2 linked regions of the Mus musculus genome follow. The protein of the gene in region 2 purifies or fractionates together with the protein of the main gene of each other region. This does not show direct contact. Links are inferred from orthologs where the notes say so. Each region holds a gene or a part of one and is shown on either strand. Other genes may lie near its edges.

Region 1 (14,758 bases), on a different chromosome or scaffold from region 2:
TCTGTCTGAAAAACAGCTAGTGTACTTATATAAATAAATCTTAAAGTAAAAGATTGGAAGAGATGCTTCAAAATAAAGTCAATCAATCCTGACAAGCCTCTTAAGACAACTCCTGACCTCTACAAATACACACACACCACCCAGATCGTGAAAGCTATAACAGGTCAGAATTCAACAAGTCTACAAAATAAGTCAACCTTGGAATCCACCACAGAACATGACACACTTCACAAATTTATGTATTGGGCTATCTTAGTGTGCACTATAGTCTATTATGTAGGCAAGGTTAAGTACCACAAAGCACAAAGTTTTTTTAGGCACTGAATTTAGTAGGTCTGTTGTTGGGTACTTACCTTTGATCTCGGTGTTGATGGTTTTAAGTCTTTTCCATTTTGGTTTGATTTTTGTGCATTTTTGGCTGGGGTATCTCGTACAGACTGCAAGTAGAAAATGGCCTTAATCCATATGCCCTCTCCAGAGTAGAGATCAACTCAGATTAAACTGTCCTAAAACAAACTAATAAATTGTAACTCACATACAGATAGCGTTCTCAAATTTTCCTGTTTAGCTCAGAACCAATTTTTAAGATCAATTCAGCCAGTTTTTACTACTAGCACTAAGAAATTCCCATCCTTTTACTAGCTACCCATGATAAACCTCATAGTATCTCATGTACTCACTTTCTTCACTGGGACCTTTTCTTCAGTTTCCTCTTCATCAAAATCATCATCATCATCACTATAAATGAAATAAGCCAACACACAGAACTTAAATTTTTAGTCAATTTTACAAAAGAACTAAACCATATTCATCCACTGTAGCACAATTGTTAATAAAAGTGAATTTGCACCAGTATTTGAATGGATCAATACTTAAGAAACCTAACAAACATTTTTATATAATACTTGAGAGTATTGTTTCAAAGGGTTGTGTAGTTGATTAATTTTGCAATGTTATTAGTAAATAAATAGCTTCAACCAAATCAGCTTTGTACCAAACCATAAAGAAACTAGGCTTTTTAGAGTTAACATTTAGCCAGGTGTTAGTACATATATGCCTTTAGTGTCCTCTCCTCTGCAGTGTAGGGATTAACTTTTACATATCCCAGTAACTAGAGCAAAGATACTAATTACTTATGCAAGAAATTTGAACAGACCATTTCTCCCCAAACATATGGTCAGTAAACATGTAAGACTGTTAGTCACCTAGGGAATAAACCAAACAAAGATACTGCTTCACACATTACTCTTCAAGAGGTAAATTTAGGAAGAACTCCCACAAGGTGGTGACAGCAACCCCAAATACCTACAGTCAATGACACATGCACATGACTTTTCAGCCCTTAAAAACTATAGGGATCAATTCTGTCAAAAATCAAAGCCAGACCGAAATGGTGGTGATGAAATGTTGCAAAATACTCAAATAATTTAAATGTAGCCAAAGATTGATCAAAAATTCTATAGTAAAAATTTTACTACATTTGTTGATTCTACCTGTCTTACTGTAAAGATGCTTCTGCTTACACTTCATTCCAATGTGTTATGTGCAGTGTTTGACAAGGCTAACTTTATTGGCTCCTCCTAAAGACATATATATGTGGCACTGGAATTAAGCTGCCAGATTGAAATTAACAACAGTCCACCTCCAAATACTTAGTGTAACGTCCTAGCTCAAAAAAGGGTGCTGCTTCTCACTTCCAATTTAGAGCTGAGATTATGATATAAAGTCACATGGCACTTGCTTTAAGAGGAATACAAAATGTTCTTCAGGCATACTGTGATTTTTTAGAAGGGGGCAAATCACATTCAGTATGGCCACTGAAACATCTCCATGTCTATACCTAAGTATATAATGTCCAATTGCTCATACAAAGTCTGTAAGCAAAATCACCAACAGTGACTACATTTTCCACACTAGTGTTAAAGTCAAAAGTTTGAACTTCATGTAAATTACCTTTTCAGTGGGGAGATTCTCTCTTGTTAGGATCTGCTACATGTAAATCCAGTGGTTTTGGTAATTTAACACTACAGGTTAGTATAAAAATGACCTTACCTTACACCCAATCCATGTAGATGCTTGGTACCAGAAACAATACTAATTTCTATAAAACTACTCTTTTCTTCTATCCTAAACCATGTAGTAGTATCAGTCATACCACCAAAACACTATTCCAATGATTTTATCCTTAAGATTAAAAAGGCCCTTGATGCTGGTGGTTTTATGCCCCAGTATAGAGGAATGCCAGGGCCAGGAAGCAGGAATGGGTGTTGGTGAGCATGGAGAGGGGGATAGGGGGTTTTCAGAGGGGAAACTAGAAAAGGGGATATTTGAAATGTAAATAAAAATGTCTAATAAAACCAAAAGGCAATACCATCTTATGAGACCACATATATCTGTCCTTTAGTACAGCAGCATTCAATACTTAGTTCTAACAACATTCCTCAGGGTTATCTTCTAAGCTCTTAAATGGCAAAATAGTCAAAAAAATCTCTGCATAAATGTCATTATTTGCAATATAACCCACTCATCTGTTCTACTCCCCAATTTTTTTTGGTTTTTCGACAGGGTTTCTCTGTGTAGCCCTGGCTGTCCTGGAACTCACTGTAGACCAGGCTGGCCTCGAACACAGAAATCAACCTGCCTCTGCCTCCCAAGTGCATGCGACACCACTGCCTGGCTACTCCCCAAACATTGTTAAACTATATACAATGAAATATATAAAGTCAATCTTGAAATCAAACAATTTGAATTATCTGATCCAGGACTTTAATCCATAGGCTTGTATACAGAGTATGTGTTTAAAGCCTCTTTGCATTCTTTGATCCAGAACTTTCTGGCAATGTGATTAAACTCTCCAACTTAAATAGTAAATAATCTTCAGCTATCATTTTATTCTCGTGGGCATCATCTCTGTATGATGAACCATTATCACACCAGAAGAACTACTAACCCTGATAACCTCAAGACTATTATTTGTCCCTTACTATGTCCCCACTATGAATACAGTAATCAATATAATGAAGACTAGTTCCCAAGTTTGCTTTGAACAGTTATCTTAGCTCAGAATATACTTGACCAATTCCAGAACTTCTATAAGACAGGAAGGTAACAAATATAAGACTACAAATAATAATTCCATACTTCGGGGGGAGGGTATGGGGGACTTTTGGGATAGCATTGGAAATGTAATTGAGGAAAATATGTAATAAAAATATTTTTAACGAATTCCATACTTCCCATCTAGCTGTTACTTATATTGAACACATAAAATCTTACTCCTAACAATAACTCCCAAGAAAAATCAATGTCCCAGCCGGGCACAGTGGCGCACACACTTGGGAGGCAGAGGCAGGCAGATTTCCGAGTTCCAGGCCAGCCTGAACTACAGAGTGAGTTCCAGGACAGCCAGGGCTACACAGAGAAACCCTGTCTCAAAAAAATAAATTAATTCAACCCCCCCATCAATGTCCCACATACAATAAATAGCTTGTTTGTAAGGCAAACATGGAATCATAGGTCAAAATCTTTTACTTTCAAACATCAACCACTGGCAAGTCAATCCTCCTAAACCCTTACAAGTACCTGTAAGATCAAGTTTTTGAGATCATAGTACTTATACTTACTCCTCATCATCCTCATCGTCCTCATCATCGTCCTCATCATCTTCATCAAGTTTTACTTTTTTCTGAAAGAATAATATGCATCCATTAGCAAGAGAAATTTTGGTGATTAGCCAAAGTAAATGCCAGAAATTTTGTTTTTTTTTTTCGATACCAATGTTTCTCTGTGTAGCCCTGGGTGTCCTGGAACTCACTTTGTAGACCACCCCCAGCCAGAAATACTTTTTAAAACTCTTTCCTGGCACACACCTTTAACCCCAGTGCTCGGGAGGCAGAGGCAGGTGGATTTCTGAGTTCAAGGCCAGCCTGTTCTACAAAGTGAGTTCCAGGACACCCAGGGCTACACAGAGAAACCCTGTCTTGAAAAACAAAAAACAAACAAAAAGATCTTTCCTTTCTTTACCTGTGGAACCTTGTTACCACCTCCAGGAGCAGATCGCTTTCCAGACATGCCTAAGAGTTTTACGTCCTCCTCATCTTCATCTTCAGACTCTGCATCTTCCTCTACAGCTAAAATAGAATTAGACATACTAACTCGACAAGAACAAGTAACCCATAGCATTTTTAAGATTCCATTAAAGGTAGCAAATGAACAGAAAAGATTTACTGTATTTTAAAGACAGAAATCAGGTCTTTGTAGAACTACGACAGTCCAAATGGAAGTCTAGATTGAAAGATAGCCTCATTGGTCATAGGGTCCTGAATAGCTGAACCCAACCAAACACATTCGTCGTGTTAGATTGATCCCCAGAACTCATGTGATAGCAATTAAAGATGCTAGGGAAATTGTCTTGTCTGACCAGGACAAGCATTCCATGGCAGATGTGCAAAGATACAAATGTTTAAAATATTAAAAAAGCTAGCCTATATTGAAAACTATGACAAAAAAAAACCTACCTACTAGATGCTGTCCACTAATGTGCACAGGCCCTGAACCACACTTCAACCGTAAGACCACAGGTGGTGTAATTTCAAAGCCCCCTAGGGAAACCTAAAAATAAGAGTTTTACAACAGATATTACCAGCAAGTTCTACAATGAAATAAACCTATTTATAATAGCAGCAGAAATAATCTTGGTAAAAGATACGTCTTTGCAAAACCTAAATGACACTGACCCCAAATGACGCAAGAGACCTGAACCAACATGAAATCCAAAATTTAGAAATGTACTTACTGTTGGTTGTACAGACATTTTCAAAGTTGCCAGTGTTACTTTAATTGGACTGCCTTCATAGTTCATTGCTTCTGCCTCTACGATGTGTAACTCATCTTTTGCCCCTGCTCCTAAACTGACCTGTGAATAAAAATGTTTCAAAGAAACTTTTAAAGTGGCTTTTCACCACTACTGACGAAAAGAAAACTAGTCATCTCACCATTAGAATTAGAATTGAAGCGTTTCACAACAGAATTACCATATACACAACTGTTCCTTTAAATGAATAAAGCTGGCAGATTAAAAACAAGCACTGTTCTACAAAGCACCTATCTAGCACCTTGGAGTGACCAAGCTATACAAAATTACAAGTGACAAAGATCCCCTATCTTTTCTGGGATTAAACTCCTAGTTCATCAGTAGGAAATGTCTGAAATGTTTTTAAGTTTCAGAGCTTACATACCGTTCTTAATGACAACTGGTGCTCATTTTCATCATTATCCACTTTAAAGTGATAGTCTTTGTCAGCCTTTAGTTCACAGCCTGTATGTAAGACAAAAACAAGAAAGCAAACCTAGCAATGATACTTACATCAAAACCCAAAGCCTAAAGTTCTGTGAAATCAACTCAAATGAAACATTAAAAAAAAAAATCTTTAATTTTCTCATAGTACTAACTACATTGAGGCAACATTGCTGGTTTCCACAGTAGACTTAATGAGTCTCTTTAAAGTAGTATGGTGAAATCGGTATAAACACTACTAGAATTAATGAACGAGTGGCAGAGTTCACTGTTCCTTTAATCTCAGGACTGTTAAAAAGCTAAAACGTGAATCACTGAAAAACAAACTGATTCTTTTAAACAAAAACTGGGTGTAGGGTAGGCAGCAAGACTATAGATGTGATCCCCAAAAGCCTTGATGCTAAAGCGAATCTTGTCTGTTCAACAGATCCTTCCCTCTCCCCACCCCAAGAAAAAGTAGTTCTAGATAGAGCCAGGTAGATGATTTAAGGGTACTCCTAACATTAAGCCACGTGGGCCATCAGTACAGCTATCTGCAACGTGATGCTGACTCCGCCTACCAGAGGCAAATTAAAAAGGGGGGGCTCCATCACTGTGGATACTGAAAGATATGAACAAAGATCTCAAAAACCCATACGCCACGGGCTATGAAATAAACATTTCCCTCCCAGAACTTTTAACTAAGCCACAAGATCCCACGGCTGAAGGTTGGCTAGAGTCGGAGAGCCCGGATGTAGAGCCCACACCCCCTCCCTAACCCCCAACCACGTGGCAACCACGTGCTCCTAGGGGTTGCTGCCCCTTCTGCCTCAGGGCGCCTGCTCGGACCATTCCCCGTTACTGGGCGAAGCCCTCGGTCGCCACAGAATACAAGATGCGGCCCCTGGAAAGCCCAGCGCCTGCAGATGTATCCTCCCCAACAGGGCGGAGGTAGGCCTCGCCTCGCTCCACAGGCCCCTTTCTCCCGTGCCGCCTGCCGTGGCTCAACACAAGAGGAAAAAAAGGAGCTCGGAAGCGACCGTGCGGGCTTTCGTGCACAGGAGAAACGCCTCTCAAGTTCGCGCCACAGGCAAGGTCGCACCCTCGCCGGCCGGCCGGCCGCTCCTAACACCCGAGGCTACAGGCTGGGCCGCTCCCGCCCCATTTTCCGGCGGCTTTCCTAGTGTTCAGGCCGCTGCTTCTAAGGCCTGGGAGATTCCTCCTTGCTCTCCGGCCTCCACCTACGCCGCGTTCCCCACACGCCAGGCCTCGGCTGGGCTCCCGCCCCCCCCCCCATCACCAGGCCCTGCACACGCTTCCCCCTCCAGTCAGTTACCGAAAAGGTAGTTCTGAGGCCTAAGAGGACTCATGTCCATATCCATCGAGTCTTCCATGAGGTGGAGGCGCGCACTTCGGTGTGGGAGAAGCCGGACGGAAAACAACTGCCTCCTGTTCCACAGAACAGACGCGCAGGACGGAATCACGCCAAGGAAAGGACGCGGGCTCTCCGCACGTATATATGGTCGCAGGAGATCTCGCGAGATCTGCGCTAGTCCTGCCTCCGCGAGCCTCCTCTGGATCCCTCCCACTCCCCGCACAGTCGCGCTTTTGCGCGTGCGCCTTTCATCCTCACGCCTAGGTACCTCGCCCCCCTCCTCCTCCAGGTGCTTGGCGGGCTCTCACTGCGCACGCGCGTTCGTCTCTGGCCCCGTCCCTCCACTACTGTCGCCCAAGCGCAGGCGCGTTTTCTCTTTGTGGCCTCGCTCTGGGTTTTCAGGGCTTCCACGTCTTCTCCGCTCGTGCTCGCGGGCCCAGGGCCGAGAGCGTGCGCAGCCCACCCTGAAAGATGGCGGCTGCAGCCAGGGAACCACAGAGCGTCTCTTTTCTCCACCCTCCGTTCCCCGTAGGCCTGGAACAAGCATAATCACCTCAGGATTTGGCTTGCTCGAAGGCTTGCTCTTCGTTTTCACGTAGCTTCAGGAGCCCAGGGCGGAGTGGCTGGATCTAGGCTACTTTCCCCGCAGCCATGCTTTTGCACCTCTTTTCTGAGGCAGCATTTTCAAAACGAAAATTATCAGCTTTATGTCATTTGGGGACCAAAGAGAAACCCAGTCAGTCGCCTCCAAAGAGCATCTTTCTAAAACTTTAGAGCGTGCAGAACTGAGAAAACGCAGGCCGTCTTCATCATTCCAAATGAAGGCCTATCGCTTTTTTAGAAATTCATGAGCCTTAATACGAATCTTCGGCTGGGAATTAGCGCTTTAAAATGAATCCTGACGAACATCCCTCAGCGTTGGGTGCTTTCTGACAGCGGCCCTAATCTTTTTATCTCAACATGGAGCTAGCATATTTAAGAATTTGGGGGAGGAATGTAGATAATGGTACCAATGTTTGTAGACTCCAGAGACGTGTCAGATATAAATGCATGTGAGCCCATTACGTATCAAATCCTAAATTCGGAGATATCTGTCAATATGTGAATTTCAGTTTGCAACTATAAGGAAAAAATCATGAAACTTGGAAGAATTGTGTGTGTAAATAAACAGAGAAAAAAAAAAAAAAAGTCGGGCGTGGTGGCGCACGCCTTTAATCCCAGTTTGCGGGAGGCAGAGGCAGGCGGATTTCTGAGTTCGAGGCCAACCTGGTCTACAGAGTGAGTTCCAGGATAGCCAGGGCTATACAGAGAAACCCTGTCTCGAAAAACCAAAATAATAATAATAATAAAATAAACAGAGATAGACTGGGTATAGTGTGGGAAAGAACGGGTGAACAGAATTTGACCATCCAAACTGAGAAGGTGCAGGAGGAAGCATTGATACCCCTTGAGCCTGTGCAAGCCAGACAGTTTGATTGTTTCTGGATTCTGAAGCTTATTTAAATGCAGCTCATGCTGGTTTAATCCCAGCACTCTGGAGGCACAGGCAAGTGGATCAGGAGTTCAAGACCAGTGGTCTACAGAGCAAGTTCCAGGATAGGCAGGACTACACAGAGACTCAGTTCTTCCTGCCTCCCCGAAACTTTAGGTGCCTTAGTTGTCACTGAATGATGCCACATGCTTAGGTACAATGAGTAAGAGCTGTGTATATTACCTTACAACAAAATACTATCTTTTTTTTTTTTTTATTCCATGCTTTTATTAGTTTTTAGCATGCTTTAAAACATAAAAACAGAATCCTATGGCCAATGCCCAGCTTCAACAGTTGTCTCCACACACACACAGCATGCTATTTAATACACATCTTCCCATCTGCATATTTGGGTGTGGGCACGAATCATCCTGGAATTAGCTGATCTCTTGTGGATACCAAGTGACAACTATACAACTGTATTTCATACTACACCACATGACTACAGATATATGAGAAGAAATGTCCAGACTCACATTGATTAGGCCATTCAATGCATTATACATATTCCCAAGTACGCCATACATCATAAATAGATAGATACACTTTACATCAATTAAAAATAAACTGAAAAGAGAAATACCCCATGAGCTTCTGGGTATATCTGTAGACAGTAGCCAAGAAGGTATCCTATAAGAGAAACTTAGATAAAGTTTCTCTTAGATAAAGATATAGGAAAAGAAAGCCATTTGAGAAATCTCCATTTCAAGATCCTGCTGTGGTGGTTGTAGCACACACCTTTAATCCCAGTACTCGGGAGGCAGAGGCAGGCAGATTTCTGAGTTCAAGGACAGCCGGGTCTACAGAGTGAGTTCCAGGACAGCCAGGGCTACACAGAGAAACCCTGTCTCGAAAAAAACAAACCAAAACAAAACAAAAAACAAACATCTCGTCCTGGAAGCTTAATTGTGTCTAACAGTATACCATTTTGATGGACCGTACTTTTTTTTTTAAGATTTATTTATTATTTATATGTAAGTACACTGTAGCTGTCTTCAGACACACCAGTAGAAGGTGTCAGATGTCATTACAGATGGTTGTAAGCCACCATGTGGTTGCTGGGATTTGAACTCAGGACCTTCATAAGATCAGTCAGTGCTCTTAACCACTGAAGCATCTCTCCAGCCCCGGACCATACTTTTAATGTCGCAGCCCACATACCTGCGCTTAACCAAAAAAAACAAAAACAAAAAAAAAGTGTCTTAAATAAACAAACAGGCCAGGCAGTGGTGGCACACGCCTTTAATCCTAGCACTTGGGAGGCAGAGGCAGGCGGATTTCTGAGTTCAAGGCCAGCCTGGTCTACAGAGTGAGTTCCAGGACAGCCAGGGCTATATAGAGAAACCCTGTATTGAAAAACAAAAACAAAACCTTTTCTTTCAATAGTTTAAAGTTACTATATTATCTCCAGAGTTTGTATGGGGGTGGTTGTTGTTGTTGTTGTTTTCAAGCAGGAAGTTTGATTTGGAGGTTTTGCTTGTGGTTTGCTTTGGTTTTGATTCATTTTTTCCTGCAGTGAGTATTAATCCCAGGACCCTGAGTGTTGGACAAGCACTGCTCTACCATTGACCCACATCTCCAGCCTGCATTTCTATATTTGTTCTCTCTGCAATGTGTCCTTCTTGCCCTCCTCCATGGCTATTGAGACAGGTATCCATATGTAGTACTGTGAGACCCCGATTTAAAGTGTTTCTCCCTGAAAGGTAAAGCCCCTAAAACATTCCCCCAAGCTTGTTTTCCCTGATCTCTAAAAATACAGTCAGAAAGAAGCTCTTTGTTCTCTATAGCCAGCAAAAAACTTTATTTGTTTCAATACCTTACAATCAGAGATGCGATAATTGTAAAAAAAAAAAAAAAAAAAAAAAAAGGCCTAGCCAGGCAATTGCCTGGCTCCCTGTGCCAAGGACACCCCCCCCACACACACACACACACACACCCCTACCCCCCACCACCACCACCACCTCTGCTGCCAGAGAAGAGCGGTACTCCCAATTCCTCAGCTAACTGTTAAAAGACCCCCTACTGTTACCGAGCCTCTTGCAGTTTGCATCAGGTGTGGTTTTCTCAGTGGGTTGCTGGCCAGCTCATCCCGGGACTTGAGTGGAGGCCCAGCTTGGGGGGGGGCAGTCTTACAGTACAAGACTAGAACTCAATCCTCATGCCTCAGCTTCTAAAGTGCTGGGCTCAGACATGGTTTCCCTGGTTGATTCTAAGATGTTTTCCACTCAGATTAGCCTGGACGAAGTGCCTATAATCTCAGTACTTGAGACAATGGAGGCAGAAGGATCAGAGTTCAGGATTAGCCTGGGTTACATGAGACCTTGTCCAAAGAGTTGGAGATTAGGGAAAAGAGGAGAGGGATAAACAAAGGGACCCTTGACATTAAGAAAATAGTATGCCTCCCTTTGTGTTTCCTCTGTCTCCGGGATCACTGAGTCCTGGAGACTGGAGATTCAATATCATCAAGTTTAGAAGAACTTAATTTGTTATCTGAACTGTTTCTATCCACTCTTTTATCTTCTTCCATATGAGACATTTTTTTTTAAGAGATAGACCTGGGCATGGTGGCATATGCTTCTAATCCCTGCATTCAAGTCCAGCTTGGTCTACAGAATGAATTTCAGCTATATGGAGAAACCCTGTCTGAGAGAGAGAGAGAGAGAGAGACTGGAACTGAGGTTATAGTTCAACAAAGAAGATAAACAAACAGGACTGCTCACACTAAAAACATCTGCACAGCATCAGTGGAGAAATAACTCACAAACCTCATTTTACACACACACACACACACACACACACACACACACACACACACACACACAAATATTCTGGGACATCCACAAAGACAAAATGTAGCCAGTGCTTGTTGTTCAGTCCTGGAATGGAAATTTGTATACTGTTTTGGGGCATGTAAATTAGAAGAGCCATTGTAGAAAACTGTGGAAGTTCCTCCTGATGCTGGCATAGTGGTGTACACCTGTAATCCAGCATTTACTGGAGTGGGGGGTGGAATGGGGATGGAGGCCAGAGGTGCAGGAATTCAAAGGCTACTCAGCTTCACCTTTAATCCCAGCATTCCAGAGGCAGAGTAGGAGGCTCTAGTCTGTTTGTCTTATGTGGTCCCTGGGTCCTATCCTCGTAGTCCTGTCCCAACCCAACCATCTACAACACACACATGAACACAGACATGTATAGATGCCTACACAAACATGCACATGCATACACACATGTGCACTCATGTATACACTATTCTATTGCTGTGAAGAGATCCAAGACTACTCTAATAAAAGAAAGTATGAGGACTTGCTTACAGATTCAGAGGTTTAGTTCATCAACACGGTGGCCTGGAGTATGGTGGGACATGTCACTCATGGTGCTAGAGCAGTAGCTGAGAGCTAGACACTGATCTACAGACCAAGAAAATGAGAAACCAGGTCTGATATAGGTTTTGAAACCTCGGTGATGCACTTCTTCTTACAAGGGCACAGCTCCTAACTCTTCTAATCCATTCAGATAGTGTCACTTCCTGATAACTAAGTATTAAATTAGAGGAGTCAAACCACTACATTCTACTCCCTGGCCCCCCATAGGCTGATAGCCATATCATAATGCACAAATGCATTTAGTCCAACTTCAGAAGTCCCCATAGTCTATCACAGTCACAACACTTTAAAAATCCAGAGTTCAAAGTTTTGAGACTTGTAACAATCTCAACTGTAAGCCCTATAAAATTTTAAAAAGCAGACCCACAGACTGCCAACATAAATGGCACAGGATACACATTTTTTATTCCAAAAGGAGAAAAAGGAGCGCAGAGAGGAAATACTGGACTAAAGCAAGACCAAAACCCAGCAGGGCAAACGCCAAACTCAGCATCTCCATGTCTGATGTAAAAACACTCTTCAGGTCTCCAAATCCTTTCAGCTTTGTTGACTGCCACTTTCTCTCTCTCTCTCTCTCTCTCTCTCTCTCTCTCTCTCTCTCTCTCTCTCTCTTCCTCTCTCTCTCTCTCTCTCTCTCTCTCTCTCTCTCTCGGGCAGGTCCTACTCCTGGCTGCAGCTCTCACCACTTTGGCATCTCCAACATCTTGCAGTTTCCAGTATAACCCGAGCTTCATCTTCACAGTTCATGAAATGACTTTCTTTCTTTTTTTTTTTTTAAAATAAGTCTTTTTTTTTAAAGATTTATTTATTTATTATGTGTAAGTACACTGTAGCTGTCTTTAGACACACCAGAAGAGGCCACCAGATCTTGTTATAGATGGTTGTGAGCCACCATATGGTTTCTGGGATTTGAACTCAGGACCTTTGGAAGAGCAGCTCTTACCCGCTGAGCCATCTCACCAGCCCAAGAAATAGCTTTCTTAGGCCTCCATGCAGAGACACAGGTGACACATGCCTGACCTCAGCGGCTTTCCTTAGGCACAGGGACATATCCCATAATCCCTTTCTTTTATCCTGGTTCAGGGTTTCCTCTGTGGACCAGCCAGCCCTGGCTGTCCTGAAACTTGCTTTGTAGACCAGGGTGGCCTTGAACTCTCAGAAATCAACCTGCCTCTGCCTCCCAAGTGCTTTCATTTAGCCTCAGACAGATTTTTAGGAACAAGGCAAAAAGCAGCCACATCCTTTGCCAAAATATCACACACACACACAGAGGACTCATGTATACACACATATACATATAATTTTAAAATGAAATAAATCATATTTCTTTTGTATGCCTGCGTGTTTTGCTTGCAGGTATATCTGTACACCACCTAAGCATACAGTGCCCACGGAATGCAGAAGGTCTTTATCCTGAGCCACACACCCCCAGCCTGTTCAGTTTTTGAATTGTACATGTGTTGTCCAAAATGTGTATCACTTATATTTTAAGTCAGGATGTCTGTTTTCACTGATGTAGCCAAGATAATTTAGAAAACTGTTTGTGGGGCTGGTGAGATGGCTCAGCAGGTAAGAGCACCCGACTGCTCTTCCAAAGGTCCTGAGTTCAAATCCCAGCAACCACATGATGGCTCACAACCATCCGTAACAAGATCTGACTCCCTCTTCTGGTGTATCTGAAGACAGCTACAGTGTACTTACATATAATCAATAAATAAATCTTAAAAAAAAAAAGAAAGAAAAAAAAAGAAAACTGTTTGTGTATGCCATTTTTGATTAGCATGTTTAATGAATGAAGATTATGGCCTCCAAGAATGGGAAAATTTGCCACTGGTGAGTGAGTGATACTGGTACGGGTGTGACCCCTCAGGTTATGACACAGATGTCCTTTCTGAAGCCATGGGTCACATCATGAACTAGATTGTTGGACGGAGAGCAATCCTTCTTTAAGGTGAGCCATAAGCAGCATCCATGTCAGAAAGTAGGGGAGGAGGTGAGTGTGTCTGAGGAATTCACAACAGGGTCCTCTGTTCTTCCCCCCACCCCCAGAGGCTGAAGGGTGTCAAAAAAACAAAAAACAACCCAAATCTATCTCACCCCCCAAAGGGGGTCTGGGATAGTACAAACTGGTCCTAGTTCAGGGCTATCCACATTCTCTCTTTTTCATCAGCACATCTCACTTTCTGTAGTAAATACATTCTGTGTTTTCTCTTCCTGCTTCTTCTTTAGTCCTTTGTATCTATTGGGGAATTCTCTCTCTCTCTCTCTCTCTCTCTCTCTCTCTCTCTCTTGTTTTGTTTGGTTTTTCGAGACAGGGTTTCTCTGTGTAGCCCTGGCTGTCCTGGAACTCACTTTGTAGACCAGGCTGGCCTTGAACTCAGAAATCCACCTGCCTCTGCCTCCTAAGTGCTGGGATTAAAGAAGTGTGCCACCACCGCCCGGCTGAGAATTGTCTTCTCAATGTCACAGGAGAGAAAGAAATCACAGCTCCTAAGTGTGGGCTGAACAATTGAATGAAGATGATGATCCCCTCAAGGCGACTAGACAATAGGGAGATAAGTCATGACTGGGCTGGGCATGATGAAATGCAAGAGTCAGGTCTGGAAGCCTTAAATGTAAAAGGCCCAATACGTGGTGGAAGCAGGCAGCTGGAAGGGAGGATAGAAAGTCCTGGGACTCAGTCAGGGAACCTCCAAGTTGGCTTGGATTTGGGCCCACTGTCAGCGTTCCGGTTCTGCATCCTGATCTGCATCTGGAATGACCCACCCTTTGTCAAAAAGATGAGTTCCTCTCCTCTCCATCGTCAGAAAGAGCGGTAAAGTCCAGCAATTACAGCAGAGGGCGCTGTAGGGCTAACCCGCTCCTTTGCCCGTAAAGGTTTATTGACCAGCAGAACCAGTTACTGCATTAAAGTAATGGAGATGAGTCTGTAGCGTATCCTGAAGTGGAATTAAAGTAAATCAGAACCTATAATGTTTTACCTTGAAGTATCACTAACTTCATCCTGAATGGCAAAGAACACAGTGTGGAAGAATAAAGAACAAATTGATTATTTACTTTGTGGCTCATGGCCATAAACCCGTTATGAAAAGGAGCATGCAACAAGCTGTTTTATAGAGTTGGTTTGTCATATCTACGTGCAAGCAAGGTGAAATTACCATCAGATATTGTCTTCTAAAAAGTAAGGTTTTTTG
Region 2 (14,498 bases):
GACACTCAGCAGCGGGGCAGATGTGTTGTTACCACAACCCAATGCTTCACCTCTTCTTTCTCACTGTATAACAACAAAGGTACCAGAGAATGTGTGCATGAATGTATGCCCAGGCAGGCAGGCAGACACACACAAACACACTTTCATGTGTGTCTACCAGATGTGAATACCCAGTGTACCCAGTCTCTTCAAGATCAACCTTGTCCCGAGGTCACCCCTGAGCACCCAGGGCCTGGGATATCAGCCTGACTTGCTTTGGAGACTGGGAAGAACAGAGTGAGAATATACTCCAACACTGCTGGAAAGAGGGCCTATATAGCATGTGATACCCATGCCTGGGCTACTCTCTAGTAACTTACTGGGCACTCAACCCAGGTGGTTGTCACAGCTCAGAAAGATCTTAGAAATGCTGTGCAGCTGGAAAGGCAGCTAGGTGGTTAGAGCACTAGAAGCTCTAGCAGATAATCCAGGTTCAATTCCCAGCAACCACATGGTGGCTCACAACAGCCTATCACTCCAGCTCCAGTGGATATGATGCCTTCTTCTGGCCTCCATAGGCACTGCATGGACATGGTGCAGACAAACATGCAGGTAGCACAACTCCTGTCTCTACCTCCCAAATGTTGGGATTGATTGATTGATTGATTATCTTGTAGGGTTCTTAGGGCTTCCCCACTTACTGAGGACCAGGACACACTCTTGAGTTTTGTTGGGCCTACTATGCCCACTCAGTCCTGAGCTTACAAACTAAGAGGAGCAGATTCTTCCAGCTGTGTTCCTAGGAAAGGGACAGGCATGCAGGCACCTGGGAATGAAGGGACTATGCTGGGCACAGCCCCAGGAGCCTGCGTTCATGAGAAATGCTGGTCTCTTTGTACAGGGACAGCCCACATCTGGTGCAGCACTAGGAATTCACTGCTAAGTGCCTCACCTGCTGAGCGACTTCAGTGCTTTTTGAATTTGTGAACAGAATGATCACTATAGATACCCTGAAATGCCTAATCCTGCCCTGGCCTCCTGAGTGCTGCTGAGATCACACATTTGTGCCACTGCACCAGGCTTGCCTATACTCATCAACAAACCACAGCAGCTAATTTCTTCTACAAAGCAACACTCAAGTGGTATGGGGCAGTGGCACATATGCCTTTAGTCACAGCAGAGACAGAGGAAGGTGGATCTCTGTGAGTTCAAGGCCAACCAAGACTACAGAGAGAGAGGGGCCCTGTGAAAGAAAGAAAGAAAGAAAGAAAGAAAGAAAGAAAGAAAGAAAGAGGGAGGGAGGGAGGGAGGGCAGGCAGGGGAGGGGAGGGGAGGGGAGTAAGGAAGCAGCAGGCAGGGCATGGTGGTGCACCCCTTCATAATCCAAGCACTCGGGAGGCAGAGACAGAAGTTCAAGGCCAGCTTGGTCTAAAAAGTAAATTCCAAGACAGTCAGGAAAACATGGAGAGAACCTGTGTGGAAAAACAAACAAAACACTCTTCTGTGGCCATCAAATACCATTACAGCAAAGGTGTGGAAGGCTGTTCCAAACCCTCCTGAACTTGCCTCAACTGATAACCATCAACTGCTCAGATCACATGCAGGGTGACCAACAGCCAAACAAAGCATTGCCTGTACAAGGGCAAGAGAGGCAGGAGCCTCACAGAGAATCCCAGGACAGGTCCCTTGATCAAGGATAAGCTCAAAGGGGTCTACATCTCCATCCCAGTGCCAAAGACCCGTGGGATCCCCCAGTGAGTGACCCCTAAAGCGTGCATCCTGCAGAGAAGCCTGAGGAAGCCTCAGACACTAAATCAACCATGACCTCAGTCATTAGCAAACATAGTCCCACACAAAGAACTAAGAACCCTGGAAAAGCCCACACAGGGTTATGATCATATCACATGTACAGTCTCAACCTGATGGGCTATCCTAAGAATGCACACCACATTCCAAGCTTAGGGTATGTCTGTTCACACGTGTGTACACAGACATACACACACAGAGAAAGGAGGAGGAGGGGAAGGGAGACACTCAGTCTATAACTTTCTGGTAACTTTATTGTGGGGGTTCAGGCAATCTCTTTGCCCCAGCCTCCCAAGCAACTGGGACCACAGACACATCCAGCCTAGAGAACTTTTTTTTTTTTTTTTTTAAGACTTGACTCTGAACTCAAAAGTCCACAAAGGGACCCAGGGTCTGGCCCAGCTCCAGGGTACTAATTCACAGCACACATGGGGACACCCAGCTTCCTGGCTGCCCATCTTCCTGAAGGCAGGAGGCAAGTATAGGATGGGGACTCAAAGGTTCACAAAAGAACAAGTGTCCTTGCTCAGCTACAAGGACAGAGATGAGGCCAGAGCCAGCCCATTTGTGCCAGCTGCCTGCCCTGCAGCCACAAGGGTTTCTGCTGAACTTTCCATGGAAAGCTGGCCTCTGAGGTCTTCAAAGGGGACTGACACCATCAACCCAGGTCTATTAAGTGATATAGGTTAGTCAATAGATAAGAGTGACTGCATATTCACCATCAGGACACTTTTGTGTCCTCCTTCTTGCAGGCCACTCCTCCCTCAGGGTATGAGGGCAAAGGACAGGGGCTTGGTTACCCTTTGTCTTAGGAGAGCTGGGACAAGCCTTCAAGGAGAGGCAAGGAGCCCTGCCCAGACAACAGCAAGATAGCATGGCATTGCATCTGGGCACTGGGGCGGCTGTGAATATTGCACAGGGACCAGAGAGAGACCAAGAATTCACAGCACTTGCCCTGCAATCAGAAGGTAAGCAGTCAAAGCTCCTGTAACCCCAGCAGGGGTGTGGGGACCTGGGACTGGAGCCAGCTGGCTTCCAGTCTACCTGAGAAGGCAAATCATCAGGTCCAGCAAAGGACCCTGCCTCAAAGGGACAGACAGTGACATAAGAGGACACAGCATCCTCTTCTGTCTTCTACCCTCACACGTCGTGAATACCTGTGCACAGTAAATAAAATTCCACTTTTTTTTTTTTCCGAGGCAGGGTTTCTCTATGTAGCCCTGGCTGTCCTGGAACTCACTCTGTTAGACCAGGCTGGCCTCAAACTCAGAAATAAGCCTGCCTCTGCCTCATGAGTGCTGGGATTAAAGGCATGCGCTACCACGCCCAGCTAAAATTCCATCCTTTTAAAAAAGTTGCCTGGTGTATATGAATGCCCTTATGGATCTTGGTGCCACCCCATTCTATCCTGTTACTCCACTCTAGCATGGAGGAAACAAGTTCGTCTTCTAAAGCCTAAGACCTGGAAGTCTGTTTCCACACTCAAATACCACAAGCCAGTGGCAAAGGCAGAAGCACAGGGTTCTAACATTGGTGACAGGACCACAGGGAGTAGCTTGGCAGTAAGAGATGTCCAACAGATAATCCTTAAACAGAAAGTTATACTCATGGGCTGGGAACAGATGACTATTCATGGGGGTGATGGACTGTTCTAGAACTAGAGAGCTATAATAGCTGCCTGACCTCTGATTATTCCACAGACCCTGTCAGGTAACCTGTTTGGGTACTGGTTTTGGACAAACCCGGACCTTCCCACAAGTGGACAGGTGCTACCCTTCTGAGCTTGAATATAGCTCAGTAGGTCTAGCACTCCCTAGAATGCACAAAGCCTGGGGCTCCATCCCCAACACTGTGTAAACCAGCACTCTGGAGGTAAAGGCAGAGTCAGGAGTCTGGGGGGGGGGGGGGGAGTGGAGGAGGGAGAGTAAGGAAGGAGGCAGATGCTCCAGTAACTGCTTGACACTCCCTCCCTGAACAGTCCTACCCTGCCTATGCCCCAGCATACTCACACCACCAGCAGAGCAGCCTGCAGTAGTTTAGCCTGTGTAGGACCTCAGAAGGTTATCACATCTCAACCCCAGAGCTGGTGTCCACATACAATGGACAGCTGTGTTTGGGTTAAGTTAGCAACAGACCAACAGTCAGGTGGTTGGACACCAATGTTCTGGAAAGATAACCAGCTTGGCTTGCATAACGAGGACCCCAGGAAAAAAGGACAGGTCTGCTCCAACAAACAGACCACTTATCCAATCTGAGATACGGGGTGGCAGACCTGTGTCTCTGTTATCCAGAACCCAACTCGGCAGGAGCCCAGTGCCCAAGTTTTCCCTCTTCCCAATTATGGCAACCACAAATATCACTAGGCATCACCAAGTGTCAATTAAAGACAGACCCCATGAGAATGGCTGGCTAACCTTTCCATGTGACAGAAGTAATGACACCTAACAGAGTGTCACATACCCTGCAGGGAGGCTGGGAGAGGTGGTCTGTCCTCATCACTTAACCTCACATGTAACTTGAAGCCAGCAGGACATCTCATACCCATATTCATAGCAGTTGAGAGAAAAAGACAGGATTGCTCTAAGTTTGAAGTTAGCCTGGGCTACATGGTGAGTGCCAAACTGCCCTGGGTACAGAATCAGACCATCTCACCCAGCTGGTGGTTTCCGGGCAGTCCCCTACTCTCATCAGTAAGTGGGTTTGAAAGGCAAGTACAGAGCCAATGTTTCCCTTGGCCACACATGGAAGCCCACCGTTACCATCCTTTCCCTGCTGAAACAGGTAATTGGCCCACATAGGCAGGCTAAAGGTCAACCCACCTTTGCCCACGTGAGCACAGATTAGCCTGGACACTTATCCGAAAAGGTCAGCAGAAGAAAATACCTTCTGAGTCACGCTGGGGCTGGCTCATTCTACCCACAGCACGACTCACCCAGCCACCCACGGGACTCCTGAACTCATCAGAAGGGACACGCCACCACACATGGCCTACTGAGTCACCAACAGGAAGGCCACCCTAGTCCTCCTTCTCAGGTTTGTCCCCTAAGCTGCCTGCCAAGCAAACAGCTAAAAATGACATCTACATCACTTCTGCCAAAGGGATTACTCTGTGAGGTTCCAGAGCCCTAAACTGCTATAAGGATGGTGTCCCCCTCCCACCTGTCACTTGTCCAAACCTGGTCTCCAAACTGGGTATTTCTGAGTGTGAACACAAGGCTACTCAACTCCTCTAAGAAGCTGGGCCACCAGCCCAGGCCCATGACTGCCACACTCAGTTCCTAATCTGTCTGTCAAGTTCCAGAGCCTGCAGTGATGAATGTCTTTCTATCCTCTGTGCCCCAGGGGCACCAAAGGTAGCTTGCAGGTGCTTTTTACAAAGGATTATAAAGCCAGACCTGGTGGCACACACCTGGCATCCCAGGACTCTGAAGGAGGCAGGAGGATGAAGGCCAGTTGGATTATGCTAAGACTCCATCCATCCCAAAACAAACAGAATAGACTGGGAAGGCCTGTAGGTGGGTGGGCACACAATGCCTCAGTAATGGGATCACAGCACAACAGATTTTTCTGTGTTTGCCTGATTGGGGGAAGGGACCTGAAACAAGAGTCTGATGCGCCCCAATATGTGGGACAGGCTGGCATGGAACTCACTATATAGTCAAAGCTGGTCTTGAACTCCTGATCCCTCTGCCGCCACTTCCTGGGAGCTAGCATGGCAGGTCTGACACTGGTGTGTGCCAGGTTCTGGCTTCCTAAGAAGCAGAACTCTCCATGGAACATGGTACTAGAATAGGGCACTGTGGAGCTGCTGCTCTGCTCAGGCTTTGAGAGAGCTAACCACCCCTACCCTGCCACCTGCTGGCTCCTGGATGGAGAGCAATGTGACAGCCACAGCTGGAAAGTGCCTGCAGATGTCAGGAGCAGGGCTGGGCCAGCAGAGCCAACCTTGCCAAATGAGATCTGGGCCAGCAAGGGAAAGGCACTGGGCGGTCATTCCCAGCCACCCGCCACTGGAAAGCCAGTTCCCGCCAGGCTCAACTGAAGGCCTGATTCACATGAAAGGGTCAGCGTCACTGGGTGAACTTTCAGCCTTCATCACCAGGGGACAGGGCAGAGGCAAACTAGAAGCACCATTCAAATGGGCACCAACAAGGTTGTGGTAGTTTTTTTTAACCCTTCAAACTCATATATGACAACTTTGAGGATACAGCCTGGTGACTGTCTACTCAGTACAGACCAAGCAGCCCATTTCTTGGTCTCCTCAGTGACAGCTTCAGCTTGAACAAGGCTACTGCAGGTGTCTGGAGTTCTAAACTCCCCGCATCCCCAACACACACACACACACACCACAGGGGTACAAGCCCATCATCCCAACCAGCACTTGGGGCAGAAGCTGGATATCACTGCAAGTTCAAGGCCAGCCTGAGCTACAGAATGAGTTCCAGGTCAGCCACTATATAACAAGACCAAAGAAACAATAGAAAAAGAAAACACTAGGCCAGCACAGGCATCCTATGACTGGCAGAATCATCACCAAACTTGGCTCACTGCCCAAAGGATGCTGCCCAGCTAAAAGAAAAACTAGGGGCAGCCTCAAACCCTCAGACAGCGTGGGTGGGCAAGTCTCAGACACATTCTCCCGGGTGAACACTGCAGAGTTGCTGATCATTCCCTGGACTTTCTAGAAAAAGCTGCTAGCAGAGAACACAATGTGACAGCCAAGGAAGTGGGAGGCAAATGACAGAAGGACAGTGGAGGGGAGGCTGAGGTGGCTGAAGTAGGCTGCACCTCGACTGTGACCACAACTCACAGAACTGCCCTGCGAAGGGTGGCTAGTCAGAACAGCCAACTCTGAGAGGGAACGTACTAAAGAGTGTGCTCTTCCAGACAGCCTCACCAGACAACCTCCCGGACTTCCCAACCTCTCAGACTCCACCAACACCAGGGGACAACTTTTCCCATTTCCCACAGTCCTTCCAGTCGTGGTAAGAAGAGGGACAAGCCTCCCCAATTTCTCAGACTCTTTGTAGGCAGACCACCAACCAGGAACCCACACTATAGACCAGGTTGGTCAGGACTCCTCCTGCCTCTGCCAAGTGCCAGGATTAAAAGTGTGTGCCACCATGACCAGCATACACACAAACAGATATTTCAAAATTCCTATTACATTTGTGAGTGGCTGTGTCTGTGCACACAGTGAGGTCAGAGAACTTGTGGAAGTTGGTACTCTCCCTTCTGCCCATGTCCCAAACATGGAACTCAGATTATAAGACTGTTGCTGAGCCATCTTGCTGACCTCAGGAGAGTTGAGTGGACACTTGTGGGAATGTTCAAGGACACACAGGGCTGCCTAATTCGAAGAGGCAGAGGACAGGTGCAAGGGCATCCCAGGACACACATGTTCCCTGGGACCCCAGTGAGGATGTGAACTCAGCAGCACCAGGGAACCCCACTGCTGTATCTTCTACTCAAAGCATACAAAGGGCCACAAGGGGACAGTACACTGACCTCCGCAGGCCCTCCTGGACTTCAGAACCCACTTGCCTCTGGCACTTCCACTTTAAGGGATAACACCTCCAGCTTTGCAGAGTCGCACCAGCTCTACCCACCAGCATGAGAGGACAACCTCCAGACTCCCTAAGTCCCCTCTAGCCATGCCACCAACATTAAGAAACAACTGCTCCAGCATTCCAATGTACCTCCAGGCCAATCCACCAACGTCAAACGACACATGAGGTACAAATTGAGATGACAACCTCTCTAACTTCTCAGGTTCTTTCAGCCGGGCACCCTGACATGAAGAAACAACTATTCGGAGCCCTCCTACCACTCCACGAACGTGGGGGGACAACCCAAACCCAAGGGCCAACCTCCCCCTGACTTCCTAGGGTTCTTTTTAGCACCTGCCCATGAACATCAAAAGGTGACAACGAGAAAGGGCATAGAGGACAATAGGAGAAGGCATCAGGATAAGAAACAGATGACTGGAAGAGGGCACGTGAGGTGACAATTTGAGGTGACAACATGAGGGGTCGCCACGAAAGGCAAGGAATCCCCGACTTCTCAGTCTCTACACCCCTGCCCACAAGGTCGGTCCAGACTCAGGTCCTCAAAGGCTGGAGACGCGGGGCTCCGGGCCGGCGGCGGCGACAACGCGACCGGCCGCGTCAGGGCAACGGCAGGCGCGGGCCGAGAACGGCCAAGGACCCGCCGCCGCCGCCGCTGCCGCCGCGGAGCCCCACGACTCCTACCCCCGCGTTCTCCGCAAGTACACTCACGTAGACCGGCAGCGGCCACGGGTAGACGGCGGGCTCGGCGCCCACAGGCGACTTGAGCCTCAGCTCCAGCTTCTCGCCCATGTCGGCGCGCGCGGCCGCCGCACCATGCTAGGCGGGCGGTTGGGGGAGGGGCGGGGCCACCGGCGGGAAGCCGGGCGGGCGGACACGGGCGGACGCGGGGCGGACGGCTGAGGACAGACGGCCCGGCCTGTGCCTCGGCCGCCGCTCCCGTGTGGCCCCAGCTCCCCTCTTTGTAGGAGTCACAGAGCCGGGGCGTCTAGAGCCGCCGCCATCTTGGGCCGGCGTGAGGAGAAGGCACAATGAGCCGGGGGGTCGGGCGGAACCACTCGGCGAGCGCGCGCGGGGGAGGCCGGGAGCCAAGAGGCGGTGCGCGCCCAGAGCCTCCGCCCGCCGCGCCGCGCGCGCCACCCCTCGCACGCCACGCCCCCTTGGACTCGCCCTCCTCCGACCGACGCACGCACTTACGCACGCAGCGGCGCACGCACGTCCTCGGTTGCCCTCCGACGTCGCCGCCAGCCGGAAGCGGGGACCCGGGGAAACCCTGCGGAGGAAAGCGAGAGAGACCAGGCGGGGTCAAGTTCAAATCCCAGTTGCACAGGCTTGCTTCGCGTCCCTTCGCTTTGCTTTGCTTTTTTCTTTTCTTTCCATTTCCTGTTCTTTTTCTTTCTCTTCCCTTCCCGTCAATTTTCTTTTTCTGTTTTTCTGGCTTTTTCTTTCTTTCTTTTTTTTTTCATTTTTCAATTTTTCCCCTTCTTTAGCTTTTCTATTTTTTCACTTTTCTAGCCTATCTGCTTATTGTTTATTTACATGCTTTTTTTTTTTTTTTTTTTTTTGAGACAGGGTGTCCCTGGCTGTCCAGGAACTCATTCTGTTGACCAGTCTGACCTCGAATTTACCAAAATCCACCTGCCTCTGCCTCCTGAGAGCTGGGATTAAAGATGTGAGCAATAAGTTAATTAATAAATCATCAGTCAAATTGGACCCTATAGGTCGGAGGCTCTCAATTAAGAGTTCAAAGCAATGTTATTCTCTGACCTGCCCAGAACTTTACAGAGTCAGGAGCCAAACTTATTTCCTTCTTAGGCCATTCCAATCCTTCTAATACTTAAGTTCCCTCCCCCCAAAACCTTCTGAGAATAAGTTACCTTGAGGTGAGCTGTCACCAGCTCACCAGCCGCTTCTGGATAGCTGCTTCTTCTTCCTGACTACATGGGAGTGAATGTAATCTAGGGGAGATGGCTCCCACCCCTCATCCTAGCGCTTGCCAGCCCCCAAAAGAAGGATCCGGAGCTAGAAGCCATGCTGAGCTACCAAGTAAATTCCGGGCCAGCCTGGGCAACTCAGTGAGCCCTCGTTCCAAAACTAAATGACGTGGTAAAAGACTCTGTAGCTTGGTGTCTCAGTCAGGGCTTCTATTCCTGCACAAACATCAGGACCAAGAAGCAAGTTGGGGAGGAAAGGGTTTATTCACCTTACACTTCCACATTGCTGTTAATCACCAAAGGATGTCAGGACTGGAACTCAGGCAGGTCAGGAAGCAGGAGCTGATGCAGAGGCCATGGAGGGATGTTCTTTACTGGCTTGCTTCCCCTGGCTTGCTCAGCTTGCGCTCTCTCTCTCTCTCTCTCTCTCTCTCTCTTAAATACATTTTTTTCCCAAGACAGGGTTTCTCTGTGTAGCCCTGGCTGCAGCTTGCTCTCTTATAGAACCCAAGACTACCAGCCCAGGGATGGCACCACTCACAAGGGGACCTCCCCCCTTGATCACTAATTAAGAAAATGCCTTACATGGGCTGGTGAGATGGCTCAGTGGGTAAGAGCACCTTACTGCTCTTCCAAAGGTCCGAAGTTCAAATCCCAGCAACCACATGGTGGCTCACAACCATCCATAATGAGATCTGACTCCCTCTTCTGGGGTGTCTGAAGACAGCTACAGTGTACTTACATATAATAAAAATAAATTAAAAAAAAAAAAGAAAAAAGAAAATGCCTTACAGCTGGATCTCATGGAGGCATTTCCCCAGCTGAAGCTCCTTTCTCTGTCAAGTTGACACAAAACTAGCCAGTACACTTGGTATGATGTAAGCAGGTCAAGAAACTGAACTTGCCAGGTAACTCATGGGTTACACAGGGCTCTTGGGACACAGGCAGAGGCAGGTGGATAGCCTGGGCCTGAGCCGAGATTATCCTTCCTTGCAGAAGTCTGCATTGGCTCTTCCTAGATTGCTCTATTGTTTTTATTTGTTGGCTTCTATGTTTTTTTGTTTGTTTGTTTTTTGGTTTGGTTTTTCGAGACAGGGTGTGCCACCACACCCGGCGGCTTCTACGTTTGATTTTGTTATCTTGTTTTACTTTTTTTTTTTTTTTTTTTTTTGAGAGGAGATCATTGTGTAGCTTTGAAAGTTGATATGTGCAGGGCAGTGGTGGCATGCATCTTTAATCCCAGCACTTGGGAGGCAGAGGCAGGTGGATTTCTGAATTCGAGGCCAGCCTGCTCTACAGAGTGAGTTCCAGGACACCCAGGGCTATACAGAGAAACCCTGTCTGGAAAAAAATTTTAAAAAACAAAACAAAACAAAACAAAAGAAAGTTGATAAGTAGCCCAGGCTGGCCTTAAACTCACAGAGATCGGCCTGCCTCTGCCTCCCGAGTGGAGTGCTGAGATAAAGCCCTCTGGAGGCACCATGTCCATTCTGCTTCAGCTTTGGCTGGTTGTTGCTGGTGGTGTTCTTGGGACAGTCTTCTGTAGGCCAGAATGACCTTGAATGCCTTTTCTTTTTCTTTTCTTTTCTTTTCTTTTCTTTATTTCCTGCTTGATTAAGGAAATGAACTTGAGCAAATACTGTCCCACTAAGCTAGTCTAAGAGCAGACCTTGACCAGCAGCCCCCCAGCCTGCTGCTGCAGTGACAGACTGTGAACGTTCTTTATATCTGACCTACTTCCTCATGCCCTTTAGAGAGAAGGCCAATCCTGTTACTCACTCTAGGGGATTCCTACACAGAGCTCTCCTCCGTGCCTTGTAGCTATTACTTTCTCCTTGTGTTGTCCAGAGTGAGGCTCATCTTTCCCTACAAGACAATGTCCCAACTTCAGTGGTAGTGGAGAGAATTTCCCAGGTCTCTCATGCTTTCATTGCCAGAGCTAATAGGGCATAGCCTGGTGCCTCCTAGGAGCTAGGGCCAAGCACTTCCTTGCCAAACACGCCCCCAATCACTCACAGAGGATTCTAGGCGAGGCTCCACCCCTGACCACGCCCCCAGCCCACCCCTTTTCCTCCCCCACCCCCAGGAGGCAGGGCTTAACCCTAACCATGCCTCAACCCCTCATTGGAGGATTCTAGATAGAGTTCCAGCCCTGTCCACACTCCCAGCCCCTCCCTCACTGGGGGTTCTACACGGGAGTTTAAGATTTAGTGTCTATATATATTGCCCAGGAAAGTTTTAACTCATCGCCTTCCGGCACCCCAAGTGCTGGAATTTTAAGGATTATGTGCTGGGATATGGAGGGTTCCATGCGGGCACGAGGAGTCTGGGATGTGAGGGGTATGTATGCTCAGGACCTCAAGAAGACACCCCCACCCGTGCCCAGATATCCTTTTACCTTTTGTTACCAAACTCAGCTTAAAACCTAAAAGAAGCAAGAGAAAGCCTAGGTCCAGAGGGAGAGGGAAGTCCCCTCGCCCACACCGTGGCTCCAGAGGGAGCGGGAAGTCTCCCCACATCCCCAGCCTCTGTCTTAGAAGTTCCTCTGCAGCTTCCTGCACCTTCTTGGTTTCAAGGCGCTGGCCGGTTCTGCTAATTTTGGGCTGAGAGCCCACAGGATCCTGTGAGTCACATCTTAAAATAACCTCCGTTTCTATATGTGTGCGCACTCGGCTCTATTTCTGGAAGTCTGAGTAATAGCCGAGGAAGCCGGGGGTTTGCCATCGGCCACTCCCTCCCAGCCAGCACTGTGCCTGAACTCCAAAGTACTCTCAAGAGTGGGGAGTTTAAGTTCCAGACCAACACCAGATATGGGATAAGTGGGTGGAGAGCTGACCTGGAACGTGGGAAACCCTGAGCTGCATCGCCGGAACAACTCTCATAAACGGGGTGTGGTGAACTAGCCTCTCACCCACCACTGCACTGGGAGGTGGAGGCAGAGCAGTTAAGAGATGACTGAGAAGATCTATAAAGAGCACTTGCTGCTCTTCCAGAGTTGCTGAGTTCAATTCCCAGCAACCACATAGTGGCTCACAACCATCAACAAGGGTATCTGCTGCCCTCTTCTGTCGTGCAGGAGATAGAACACTCATATATATAATACATCTTTTTTCTTTTCTTTTCTTTTCTTTTCTTTTCTTTTCTTTTCTTTTCTTTTCTCTTCTCTTCTCTTCTCTTCTCTTCTCTTCTCTCCTCTTCTCTTCTCTTCTTTTCTTTCTTTCTTTTTTTTAAAAGAGGGACCTCATGTCCATGTCTAAGGTGGAGAGAGATGGAGATGCAGGACTTCAAGCTCAGACCTCCATACACATTGGACACATATACTTTCATAAACAAAGAAAAGGGCCAGAGGAATGGCTCAGTTGGTGAGGAGTTTGCCTTCAAAGACAAGAATCCTATTTTAGTTCTGGTGCCCACACACAAGTGTCAGGCCTAGGGTGGTGGCATGCCCTGGTGCCAGCCCTGGGGTGGTGGCCCCTGGAATTCAGGAACTGGAAAAGCACAGACAGGAGCCAGCCTAGTCTAATTAATGAGTTCCAGGCTAGGAGAAACTGGCTCAAAAGGAGTAGGCAGCAGTCCTGAAGAACACAGCCGAGGCTATCCTCTGGGGATCACAGCCTAGGCTATCCTCTGACTTCCATGCCCTACCCACCCATATATACACCTGCAGGCACACACAAACACAGACATACAGAGTAAATAAACTGTTTAAAGAACAGAAAATAGGCCAGGAGTGATGGCACACGCCTTTAATCCCAGCACTCTGGAGACAGGCAGGCTGATCTCTGTGAGTTCAAGGTCAGCCTAGTCTACAGAGCAAGCTCCAAGATTACCAGGGCTACACAGAGACTCTGTCTTGAAAAAAAAGTGTGTGTGTGTGTGTGTGTGTGTGTGTGTAGATGGCTCAGAAGTTAAGAGCACTGACTGCTCTTCCAGAGGTCCTCAGTTCAATTCCCAGAAACCACATGGTGGCTCACAACCATCTGTAATGGGATCTGATGCCCTCTTCTGGGGTGTCTGAAGACAGCTATAGTGTACTCACATATATAAAGTAAATAATTCTTTAAAAAACAAAACAAAATAAACAAACAAAAAACTAATGCCGGGCAGTGGTGGCACACACCTTTAATCCCAGCACTTGGGAAGCAGAGGCAGGCAGATTTCTGAGTTCAAAGCCAGCCTGGTCTACAGAGTGAGTTCCAGGACAGCCAGGGCTACACGGAGAAACCCTGTCTTGAGAAACAACAACAACAACAACAACAACAACAACAACAACAACAAAAACCCCAAAACAAAGAGCAAAACAAACAAACAAATAAACATACTAAAAATCCACCCTGAAATACCCTGAGCAAAGGTGCTGGGAGTGGAAGCAATATTTCATCCTGCAGGTGTAGCGCATCACCAAGAGAATTCAGGCCTGGAACCTGAAGGCAGGCAGGACCTTGGGCATAGGCAATGGAGGAGGACTGCAGAATGGCTTGCCCCCGTGGCCAGTTCACTCTACTGGACCTCGGCCAAGAAAATGGCCCAGGGATCAGTCTGGTTAGGGCCTTTACCCAGTCGATGCTCTATCTTCCAAGATGATTCTAGCTGTCTCAAGTTGATGTAACCTACTCAGAACAAAACCAACCAAGGCTACAGAGATGCTTTCGGCAGAGCTGCTGCTGGCATGCTGGAGTCTGATCAATGGCAATGCTGGCATGCTGAGACCCTGGCAATGGATAGGAGAGAACCAACTTCTGGGAAATGCCCACTGACCTCCACACGCACACAAGCAAGCATGCACACCATAAATAAATAAATAAATAAATGTAATGAAGAGTTGTTTTAAAGTATTTGTTTGCCAGGTGTGGTGGTGAACGCCTTTAATCCCAGCACTCGGGAGGCAGAGGCAGGCAGATTTCTGAGTTCGAGGCCAACTTGGTCTACAAAGTAAGTTCCAGGACAGCCAGGGCTATACTGTCCTGGAACTCACTACATAAATCAGGCTGGCCCTGAATTTACAGAGATCTGCTTCGGAGTGCTGGGATTAATGGCATGCAACACTCACTACACCTGATTTTTCTTTAATTTTTTTTTTAAATAATCAAATCCCAGAGAGCTAGGGACATGGCTCAGGTGGTAAAGTGGCCACCATGCAGGCTTGAGGGCCAGAGTTTTGATCTTCAGAACCCACAACAGGCCCAGAAATAGTGGCGCACACTTTTAATCG

The links.
Region 1: the proteins of Dot1l (region 2) and Npm1 purify together in Homo sapiens (affinity purification with mass spectrometry; 3 studies listed by BioGRID and IntAct, with this or other methods). This does not show direct contact. The link is inferred for Mus musculus from reciprocal best matches to the Homo sapiens genes DOT1L and NPM1.

What each region holds. Positions count from the first base shown.
Region 1 is NC_000077.6:33,156,311-33,171,068, forward strand, and holds the start of Npm1 (nucleophosmin), read right to left. Parts: upstream 6,897-14,758; 5' UTR 6,670-6,896; coding exon 6,612-6,669; intron 5,318-6,611; coding exon 5,238-5,317; intron 4,916-5,237; coding exon 4,796-4,915; intron 4,612-4,795; coding exon 4,518-4,611; intron 4,131-4,517; coding exon 4,024-4,130; intron 3,686-4,023; coding exon 3,624-3,685; intron 739-3,623; coding exon 681-738; intron 438-680; coding exon 354-437; intron 1-353. UniProt on the Homo sapiens protein: Involved in diverse cellular processes such as ribosome biogenesis, centrosome duplication, protein chaperoning, histone assembly, cell proliferation, and regulation of tumor suppressors p53/TP53 and ARF.
Region 2 is NC_000076.6:80,749,090-80,763,587, reverse strand, and holds the start of Dot1l (histone-lysine N-methyltransferase, H3 lysine-79 specific), read right to left. Parts: upstream 8,386-14,498; 5' UTR 8,145-8,385; coding exon 8,064-8,144; intron 1-8,063. UniProt on the Homo sapiens protein: Histone methyltransferase. Methylates 'Lys-79' of histone H3. Nucleosomes are preferred as substrate compared to free histones. Binds to DNA.